2 linked regions of the Drosophila melanogaster genome follow. The protein of the gene in region 1 purifies or fractionates together with the protein of each later gene. This does not show direct contact. Each region holds a gene or a part of one and is shown on either strand. Other genes may lie near its edges.

Region 1 (5,233 bases):
TCATTATGTGGCCTGGGTTCGCTCCAGCGGCGATGTGTGGTTCAAGTTCGATGATGATGAGGTCTCCGCCGTGGCCACGGACGAGATTTTGCGGCTTTCCGGTGGCGGAGACTGGCATTGCGCCTATGTCCTGTTATATGCGCCCAGACGTTTGGAGAAACTATAAGTAATTGTGTTAACGTCATTACATTTGTATTGTTAATATAATAATTCTGAATAAATAACCAAATCCTTAAGGGTGAGCTCTCATTTCCAAGTCTTCAATTCGCATTGGTTTGTGACACAAAATGATTATTAGGTTTCCATAAGAAAAAGTTTTAATATTTAATGCATATGTTTTACTCAAATAACGGCTTGGTTTAAAATTTACCAACAGCGGTTCGTTTCCAATCGGCTTGTCGGCGTTACCTTGACAGGGGCAAGATGGTATTTTACAGCAATAAGGTCACACCCAAATTGTCAAATTGCAAGTTATCTTAGTGTTTATAATTATGGATAGTAATGATTCAGGAACAGCAGATGCGAATTCTGCACGGCAGTCGCTTGCTTTGCGGCGGGAATTGCGCAGAAAGAAAATATTGGAAGCGTCCAAGGCACGACTGGACAAATTGAATAGCAGATCGACGTCGGCGTTTCAGAATGAAAACCTCGGTAACACATGATCTTTTATGTACATACAGATGTGTACATATATTGTACATATGCCAATGTTATGATTTGTGTCAAACTCTCCATCTATAAATGTTTATGATTTCCTAATTGCAGATGGTGAACCCTCAAATACGCAATATTCCGATCCGGAGGTGGAGCCGGATATTCCAATAAGGCGTTCATTTCTGCCAGAACAACCTGCGCCCCAAAGAACCACGTCACGAAATGCATTTCTTAAGAGCAGAGTTCACATTATTTTGGCGGCTTGCTTTGGATTTCTTTTGGCTCTTTACACGAACACCAGTGTTTTCATTCCCGTTCTGCTTTTTGTGATTGCAGAGCTTGCATTTCTGCAGAATTACAAAGAAGACCATCTACCGGCCAGCATGGGACCCTTGTTACTTATGTTCATCAATCCGAATATTACCAGCAAAATTAAGCAGTTTAGCAGTATATTTTTTATTCTTCAGTCATTGTTGGGTGATCTTGCGATAACCGTTTGTGTTGTTTGTTCAGGAAGCATGCTCTTACTAAATTTTAGACCCGAATATGCTACAATTGTTAAATAAAAATTATGTCTTATTTAGGGGTGTGCAACATGATTAGCAAGACAAATACTATCAAAGCTAGTTGAATCATTCATTCATCTCAGATTAAGGACGTCAGTCGATGGCCAAAAAACAACCACCATTGCGTTTTCAGCACTGGCAGCGACTTTAGGTGCTGTACAGCACTGTTTATCTGAAATATTTATGTATAAAAACTTTGAAACCGTTAACAACCCTCAGTTTTAAGTCTAAATTTTCTAACTTAAGTTGGCTGATTATTAAAAAAACTCATTTAACTCTGAAAAAATGTCTTCAAATCTCTTAAAACAAAGAATAATAAGTTGTTAATACGTTGTTAGATAGAAATACAAAAAATATCTTTGCGAAAAATAACAATTCTCTTGGTTTCTTACATTTCTTTTAAGAATTTCTAAAAATAGACCCAGGCCCGTCCGCCTGTCAGGACATAGTAATAGTAATTGGAAAACACCTTCACTGAGCATGCCCAGAAACGCGAAAAAAGGAAAAGTGCCCACCCTCGCCTGTGGGCCTGCGCATACTTTGTATCGATTTTAAGACTGTGTACTTATTTCATAAGCTTGTGGCGAAAAGATGTTTTCATAAACAAGTGCAAGGTGGAAATTAGTGCTTGAAAAAATATATGATTGGTGCAATCGGCTACCGTAGATAAGTGTAATTATGCAGCCGTTAAAAATGGCATAACATCGAGCTGCTGCGCAAGGATATTCGGATTTACAAACGCACTTGGCAGATTTTTTTTCCCCCGAGTAATACGAAACTAATAAGGTAAAAACTACCTCTGGTATCCATGAATAAAGTTTAAGAAACTACAAATTAAGCTGAGTTTTCTGGGTGTGATTTCGATTTGAATGCTATCCATTTGAATATAACTGCTTTAAGTGAGAATGAGGCATGAGTACTTTGATTGAAAATCAATATTTTAAAATAACCTTACTAACGAAGGGCGACGAGGGTCTTGGTCTCAGTCTTATTGATTTGCAAACCCATTCGCAATTGCAGCCATCATGGGAACGGTGTTGAGCTTCAATCCGCGGGATCGCCATCCCATCTACTCGTCCCAGCCAAATTTTCAATATAATCACTCGACCGATATGCGGAACGAGAACGACAGCACTGGCTCCATAGACTCCCATCTGAACAACTTCTCCTACGAGCAGCTGAACAATGCCAAGAATCGGGAGAACAAGAAGTCCGCCTGCCATCCGATGGCCAAGAATGTGATTGGCCAGCCGGGTGGTCAGTGTGGCGGCGTTCACATCAATCTGCAGACACAAACCCAGCTGAGCTCACACAATTTGAACAATCTGGCGAACGCCTCCAAGGACACCATCACCAATGTGCTGGACACGCATAATGAGAACTCGGTGCTCAAGGCGGAGAAGAGCTCGTTCGAGAAGAACCTGAAGAAGCATTCGATCTTCATCAATGCGCTCTCGTGGAAGAAGCTCTCCACGTCGCACAACAAGAAGAAGATCGAGAACAAGAACAAGTGCGCCAACCTGCCCACGGCCTGCTTCAAGGCCCAGCTGCTGGAGTCCTCGTTCGCCTCGTCCTCGGACAAGAATCGCAACATCCAGCTGCACTGCAATCGCATCGATGAGCACAACCAGCAGCACTGCAACCAGCATCCCCATCCCCATCCGCACCAGCATCAGCTTCAGCTCCAGAATCAGCACCAGCACCAGAATCAGAATCAGAATCAGAACCAGAATCAGGTGCAGGATATCCGGGAGGAGGTCATGACCGGTCCGCCGGGTAAATCGCAGAATCCTTCCAAGGCGAAAGACCCCGTCAAGGTCAACAACAAGAACTCCATGTCGAACCACAACAAGCTGATCCAGAAACAGCCCCTGACGCTCAGCCTGCCCCAGCAAGTCCAGGCCTCGTCCATTCAGACCAAAAACACCAACCAGATCCCACGCAAGACCGTCATTCAGGTGCGTATTGTACCAAAATATGGTATTATATCTAGCAAGTCAGTTTTGAGATCCTAACATATTAGTGGGGATCCAACTTGTGTAGCATACTTTTGAAAAGAAAATTTTGAACTTAGATACCATATCATATCATATAATGAAAGTCAAATCATGAGATTTTTAAGCATTTCACTGTGTTTCATAATAAGTTCTTTAACAAAATACGAGATAATATATTTTCTTTGGCGAATCTATTGCATGGTACATCCTTAAGTTCAGGAATTGGAACTGATTTAAAGAAATACGTTTAGATTTAATTATATAAGCGATACAATAGATTTAAAACTCCCGCTTGTCAAAGATAGCTGGTTTCAGCTTTCCAAACAAAAGATGAAATTGGTTTTATATAGGATACTTTATATTATTTTCGAACACCTCGCAGGCCTCCACTTCGGAATTGCTTAAGTGCTTGGGCATGTTCTTGCACTGTCGTTGTCAGAGGCTAAACAATTTCGATGCCGGGGATGCGGTCATGTGGCTCAGAGCAGTGGATCGCAGCCTTTTGCTCCAAGGATGGCAGGTACAGTAGCTACTCTGCCACATGTCCTTCAAACAATAAGCACAACATTTAATTCCAAGGACGTGGCGTTCATAAACCCAGCCAATGTGGTGTTTGTCTACATGCTAGTCCGCGAGCTGGTCAGCGGAGAAGAGAGCAAGGAATCGGATCTTCAGGCATCAGTACTCACCTGTTTGTATCTGTCTTATTCGTATATGGGCAATGAAATCAGTTATCCACTCAAACCGTTTTTGGTTGAAGACTCGAAGGAAAAGTTTTGGGACAGGTATGTCAAATAATAAGTTAATTTCAATGAAATATTTTCCATCTGCATCTTAATCTTTAATGTAACATACAGGTGCCTCGTCATTGTGAACAAGCTAAGTGATAAAATGCTTAAAATCAATGCTGAGCCGGGATTTTTTACCGAAGTCTTTACTGAGCTGAAATCTTGTGGTCAATATCATCCTACAATTAAATCATACTGTGGAGGCGCCTGACGGATGGACGACCGGGAGATTATTGTCAACCTCTCATTGTCTGCGCATCGCCAGAAATTTCCGGATGAAATGATGGCGAAGTACCGTTAATAAAACTTAATATTTTATAAAACATTAGACAATTTCATTATGTCACTATCACAATCGTTCAAATCAAATAATAAAGATTAGTGTTTAAATAAATTAACATCTACGATATGTGTAAAATCTGTGTTTCCATTGCTGGGCTAATCAATCAATCTCAATCTTATGCAGAACCAAAAGAGAAGGAAAATATTCACCATATATGCAAATAAATGGTAGTTTATTATACATCTTATATACATAAATCGTTTCGTAATCTAGAAACTACTGAGAGCAATTCAATTTGGATACAGTATATCGTAGTGGCCTGGTCGATATATCAGGTAAATTCGGGGCTCGCTTCCCTCGGGGAAATCGTGGGCCTTCACAGTCCCACCTTCGCCACGGTCCAAGTACTCGACACGAACTCCAGCGCCGAGGGCGGTGCATAGAGCGATTATGTGGATGTGATCCGATTCCTTGTACATCGGCTCCACTTCCAGATGGCGGAACGCCTCAATGGTGAGGTCGCCTTCGATGAAATTTTGGTAAAAATCGGCCTCCTCCTGCAGTTTTCCCGAGGTGATCAAACGTAGGTAAACCACCACGTAGTCTGAGTAACCCTGCTCATTGAAGATCTTGTGCAACTCATCTTGGACCGTGCTGTGTCCTCCTGCATTGTCGGGGCTAACGCGCTGGATGACTTCCATGAACTGGACATACAAAAGGCTGCATAAGCATAGGGAATTCGTTTTGCATTTGTACGGCTAAACATACCGTTTCGTGAAAGTCCTCCAATGTAAAACTAGGAAATCCCAGCTGAACGAGCTTCTCCTTGGACTCCTCGGCCAGTTTTTTGAACTCCTGGTAGGCACTGGTGTTTGAGATCAAGTACTCCAAGTAGGAGTAGGCGAAGGCTCGGAAGAAACAATTGCCATCGGGGCGGGTGCGGCG
Region 2 (4,609 bases), on another chromosome or scaffold:
AAGACACACAGGGATTCGCCCCAATGTGCGACAAGGGAGTCCGACTTGAAAAAGACTGAAGTTGGCTACCAGGAGGAACCTACGCTTCATGTGCCCTTCCCCACCGACGACACAGTTGCCGCGGAGAAGCTCCAGCAACTAGGTAGGTGTTTAAATTCGCAATTATACACATTTCTCATAGTATGATGGTTTCCGTACAGAAAACTGCCAGGAACTGCGTAATTTGCTCCACAATCCACACCTGCGTTCGCTGCTCCAGCAGATTGATGTGGCCATCAATGCCCAGTCGGCCATGATGGCCGCCATGCAGGAGCCACTCTTCGTGGAGTTCGCTAATGCCTGCCTTCAAGTCGTCGAACCGATGACGGATGCTGAGCGCACTGAATTTGAGTTGTACTCCTGAATTAAGTTGACACACAGTCTCAATAAAACTAAGCCTTTATTTTGTAACTAATAGTACTGTCAATCCTTGGCAGCTTCTAGAGGAGCTTGCATTGAAGAACTCCTGGAAACTTCTCATTGAAATCCGCCGGTAAGGTTGAATCTTTTCCATAACCAGGGAAAACGTACAACTAATTATTTGGCTCGGCCATTTAAAGTTATCTATCTCAGCTGGCATATCAAACTAGTCATCAGTCTACAGCTTCGTTCCTTGGCAATCAAACTCAATCAAAGTAAATTGAAACTGGATCCGAGTTAAAAGTGATTTTTGGATGCTTCATGTGCAACTTGAAAAGCCTATGTTCCCCTTGCACTTTCCAGGTCATGGGGATGGGATCCTGTAATGAAAAATATTAGAAACGAAAGCTAATATAAGTTGTGAAATACTTAGACCTCATTAGACATGAGATACGTGTTTAGTTCCACATAAATATTAAGTGCTGTGGTACGGTTTTCTCCCAGTTTCTTCGCATCGAATGTGAACTCCTTAAATCCGAAGGTGCAATGGTATATACCCAGGACCTCGTGTGTGTTTAGGTTTTGTATTAAGGTATGAAACTTAATTTCGTCCACACAAACCGAATTTTGTATATAAAATTCATTGACATTAATGTGAAGATGCTGATACGCATGCATACCAAAATTAGCCACCTTTAGGGTCTTAATAGCCACATTTAAACCGTAAGTTTCACAAAATATGGATGTATTTTGGCTTATCTCGATCATATTTATAGTGCTTCTCTTCGCAGCTATGAGAATCTCTCTCAGAAATCCGTATCTAACGTGACCACAAAGAAATAGCTTCTTCAAGTGAGTTAGACGTTCCAGTTTCGATAGGAACCACACCATCATTTCCTCCTGGAAGCACTGCAGCTGCTCTAGGTTTCTAATCCCTTTCCAGGGCAGTTCTGTGTTCGAAATCTGGTCAATATCGAAGATACCCAGCTTCAGGGATTTTATTTTTCTGGTTTTCAGGATCTGTATCAAGTTGGTGACATTGAATTTGCTGCAGTAGGAGACCGTGAGGTTCTCGAGAAACTCGAATTCATCAAAGTGTTTGCCAGTAAACTTTCCATGGGGGCTAAAAGTTGTCAGATTTGGAAAAGTTTTCAACATTCTTGGCACGTCCGCATCGTTTAAGTTAAACGAATGCGTGGAAAATCGAAAATCTTTAAGTTTTGGAAAACTACAGCTGGTAAGTGTTTCGAAGTTAGATCTATTATTCATTTTGAGCCGCAGAGTGCTGAGGATTTGTTGAGTACTTTCCAGGAAGAATAGCAAATCCTTGTCGCTCAGCTGCATTTCAATCAAGGATATATATGCACATTTGTTATAAGCACGCCACACATACGGCATTAATTTCTTAAACCGGAAATGAAAGTCTTTCAGTTTTAGTTGGGTCTTCAAGTCGAGATAACTTAGAATTATCATTAGAACATCATCGGGCAGACATAGTAAGCCAGGCTTGGTATTCTGCAAAGGGCAAAAGAAATTAGGAAACTTGTATACTTATATTTCTGCTATATTGTTGCATTGCGGTACCATAAGATCGGTGTTTATCATTGTCGGTCTATATTCGTATGTTTAGCTAATATCGAGTCCAAATAAAACAATAAAATTATAACAAAAGTTTTATCAACATTTTTAAAATGATATCTGTTAATTTTGAGTATTTTTGGTGACAGCAGACTGTCAGCTGCGATGTTGGTTAGTCACCGCGTGCTGTAAGCGAATAACAGTGTGCTGTTAGGCGCACGAATCCCTGGCCAGCAAAAACAAACTGCAAAAACAATAATCCCCGGAGTTTTCCATCTGAACGCAAAATAATACACACCAAAACACAGCAAAATGCAGAAGTACGATAAAATGGAGAAGATCGGGGAGGGCACCTACGGCACGGTGTTCAAGGGTCGCAACCGCGACACCATGGAAATAGTGGCCCTGAAACGGGTGCGACTGGACGAGGACGACGAGGGTGTGCCCAGTTCTGCCCTCCGGGAGATCTGCCTGCTGAAGGTCAGTCGGACGAGCAGGAAGTGATTCCAGTTTATAAACTAAATCGGCACATTACCATCCGTAGGAGCTGAAGCACAAGAACATTGTGCGCCTCATAGACGTCCTGCACTCGGACAAGAAACTCACCCTGGTCTTCGAGCACTGCGACCAGGACCTCAAGAAGTACTTTGACAGCCTCAACGGGGAGATCGACATGGCCGTCTGCAGGAGCTTTATGCTCCAACTGCTCCGCGGACTGGCATTCTGCCACAGGTATACCTATATATGTATCAGCACTGGATTAGGTCTTATCTTGTGTCGATTATAGTTAGAATCAAGTGTTATTTGGAGTAACTTCATCTGTGGCACATTTCCGAATGATATCCATTTTATAGCATTGAGACTTAACTTACGCTACATTATCCTATTTTAGCCATAATGTCCTGCATCGCGATCTGAAACCACAGAACCTGCTGATCAACAAAAACGGCGAGCTAAAGCTAGCTGACTTTGGTCTCGCTAGAGCCTTTGGCATTCCCGTGAAGTGCTACTCCGCAGAAGTGGTGACCCTGTGGTACCGACCACCCGATGTCCTATTTGGAGCCAAGCTCTATACGACCAGCATAGACATGTGGTCCGCTGGATGCATTTTGGCCGAACTGGCGGACGCTGGACGACCGCTGTTTCCTGGCTCTGACGTGCTCGATCAGCTGATGAAGATCTTCCGTGTGCTGGGCACCCCCAACGAGGACTCCTGGCCAGGAGTTTCGCACCTCTCCGACTACGTGGCGCTTCCATGTAGGGATTCTAGACGGATTTTATTTATCGATACCAATATTAAAAGCCTATTTATATTATAGCTTTTCCGGCCATCACCTCGTGGAGTCAGCTGGTACCTAGGCTAAACTCCAAGGGACGCGACCTGCTGCAAAAGCTGCTCATCTGCCGGCCAAATCAGCGAATTAGCGCGGAGGCGGCGATGCAGCATCCCTACTTTACGGACAGCAGCTCTTCGGGACATTGAGGTCGGAAGGTTCTTTCCAAGCCACTGTTTTCACGACCTTTGATTAGACTTAAGCCAAAATGCGAGACTTTGTCCAGCAAAGATCTTTTAATTATATATGTATGTCCTTGCAGTAGAGTTCGATTATAGTATAAGATAAAAAGTTCTTTATAATTTCATTAGTTTGATTTACCAAAGCAAAAGGTTTGATTTATGACAATCCCTACCAATGTGACACTTAATATAGCCATTTGAGCTGCCAAATTAACATTTATCGATAAAATACTTATTGATTCAGTAAAATAGTTTTATTCTTAAAAATTTTTATGTTGAGTGTATCGTTAAGATCCGAAAATTGTTCAAATTCCTAGACGATATCTACTGTTTGTGTGAATGTGGAAAAAATATTTGAAATCCTAGTTTCTGTTTTCAAAGACTAAAAACTAGGCAATACATCTGGTTTCCAAATTTAATGAGTGTCGACGATTTTCTTATTACATTTATTGTGTATTTTTAAGAATTTCGATCTTTCTGAATGATATGAGTCATTAAGTAAATTAGAATAAAAAAAATTGAGATGTAACCTAGATTTTTAAACCAATAAAGACACTTACCGCAGCACTACGTCGTCGCAGCATGATGAATATTTTGAAGTGGTCGCCTCAACCCCCGGCACTCAATAGGGGTTAAAGTCGTTCTGCGCACTCGCGAGTTAGAAATTGAGAACTTTACAGATTGAGAGATTTTTTTATTGTGCTACGAATTGCTAACCGAACCGGTCGGATTTCTGAATCTTAAGCACCGAGTACCTCGGAAATTCTTTTATATATATTATTAGACGAATAAACAAGGCTACCTGTGGATCGGATAATTCGCTATATAGTTAATAATCGGAAAACTGTGTTAACCGCGCAGATAAAACAAAAGCTGTTATCAGCAGCAACCCATTTTCTAATATAAATAACAAATAAGTGCTGCAGAAATGACTTGGGGATTTGTAACCTGCGGCCCCAACGAGGCTTTAGTTGTCTCTGGTAAATCACACGATCCTTATATGCTCAAAATAATGTCAAATCGATTAAATAAATAAGTCAGTGAATAAAAATGAAATTGTCACGCACACACACATATATATACACCCCACCCCAAGTGACGTCACTATCGATTTTT

Evidence for each region.
Region 2: the proteins of Cdk5alpha (region 1) and Cdk5 purify together in Drosophila melanogaster (affinity purification with western blotting, with the first as the bait; one study listed by BioGRID). This does not show direct contact.

Annotation. Positions count from the first base shown.
Region 1 is NT_033779.5:10,307,317-10,312,549, reverse strand, and holds Cdk5alpha (Cdk5 activator-like protein), read left to right. Parts: upstream 1-1,593; 5' UTR 1,594-2,006; intron 2,007-2,240; 5' UTR 2,241-2,245; coding exon 2,246-3,178; intron 3,179-3,599; coding exon 3,600-3,737; intron 3,738-3,796; coding exon 3,797-4,002; intron 4,003-4,074; coding exon 4,075-4,216; 3' UTR 4,217-4,419; downstream 4,420-5,233. Other genes in the region: Usp14 (ubiquitin specific protease 14), read left to right, coding at 1-166; l(2)SH0834 (lethal (2) SH0834), read left to right, coding at 492-651, 766-1,220; CG4968 (uncharacterized protein), read right to left, coding at 4,579-4,992, 5,057-5,233.
Region 2 is NT_033778.4:15,568,983-15,573,591, reverse strand, and holds Cdk5 (Cyclin-dependent kinase 5), read left to right. Parts: upstream 1-2,174; 5' UTR 2,175-2,289; coding exon 2,290-2,457; intron 2,458-2,521; coding exon 2,522-2,709; intron 2,710-2,869; coding exon 2,870-3,234; intron 3,235-3,296; coding exon 3,297-3,460; 3' UTR 3,461-4,053; downstream 4,054-4,609. Other genes in the region: CG8204 (uncharacterized protein), read left to right, coding at 1-142, 201-403; CG30466 (uncharacterized protein), read right to left, coding at 666-779, 835-1,914, 4,054-4,077; Flo1 (flotillin 1), read left to right, coding at 4,422-4,473. UniProt on the Drosophila melanogaster protein: Probably involved in the control of the cell cycle. Interacts with D1 and D3-type G1 cyclins. Possible regulator of neuronal differentiation and/or development.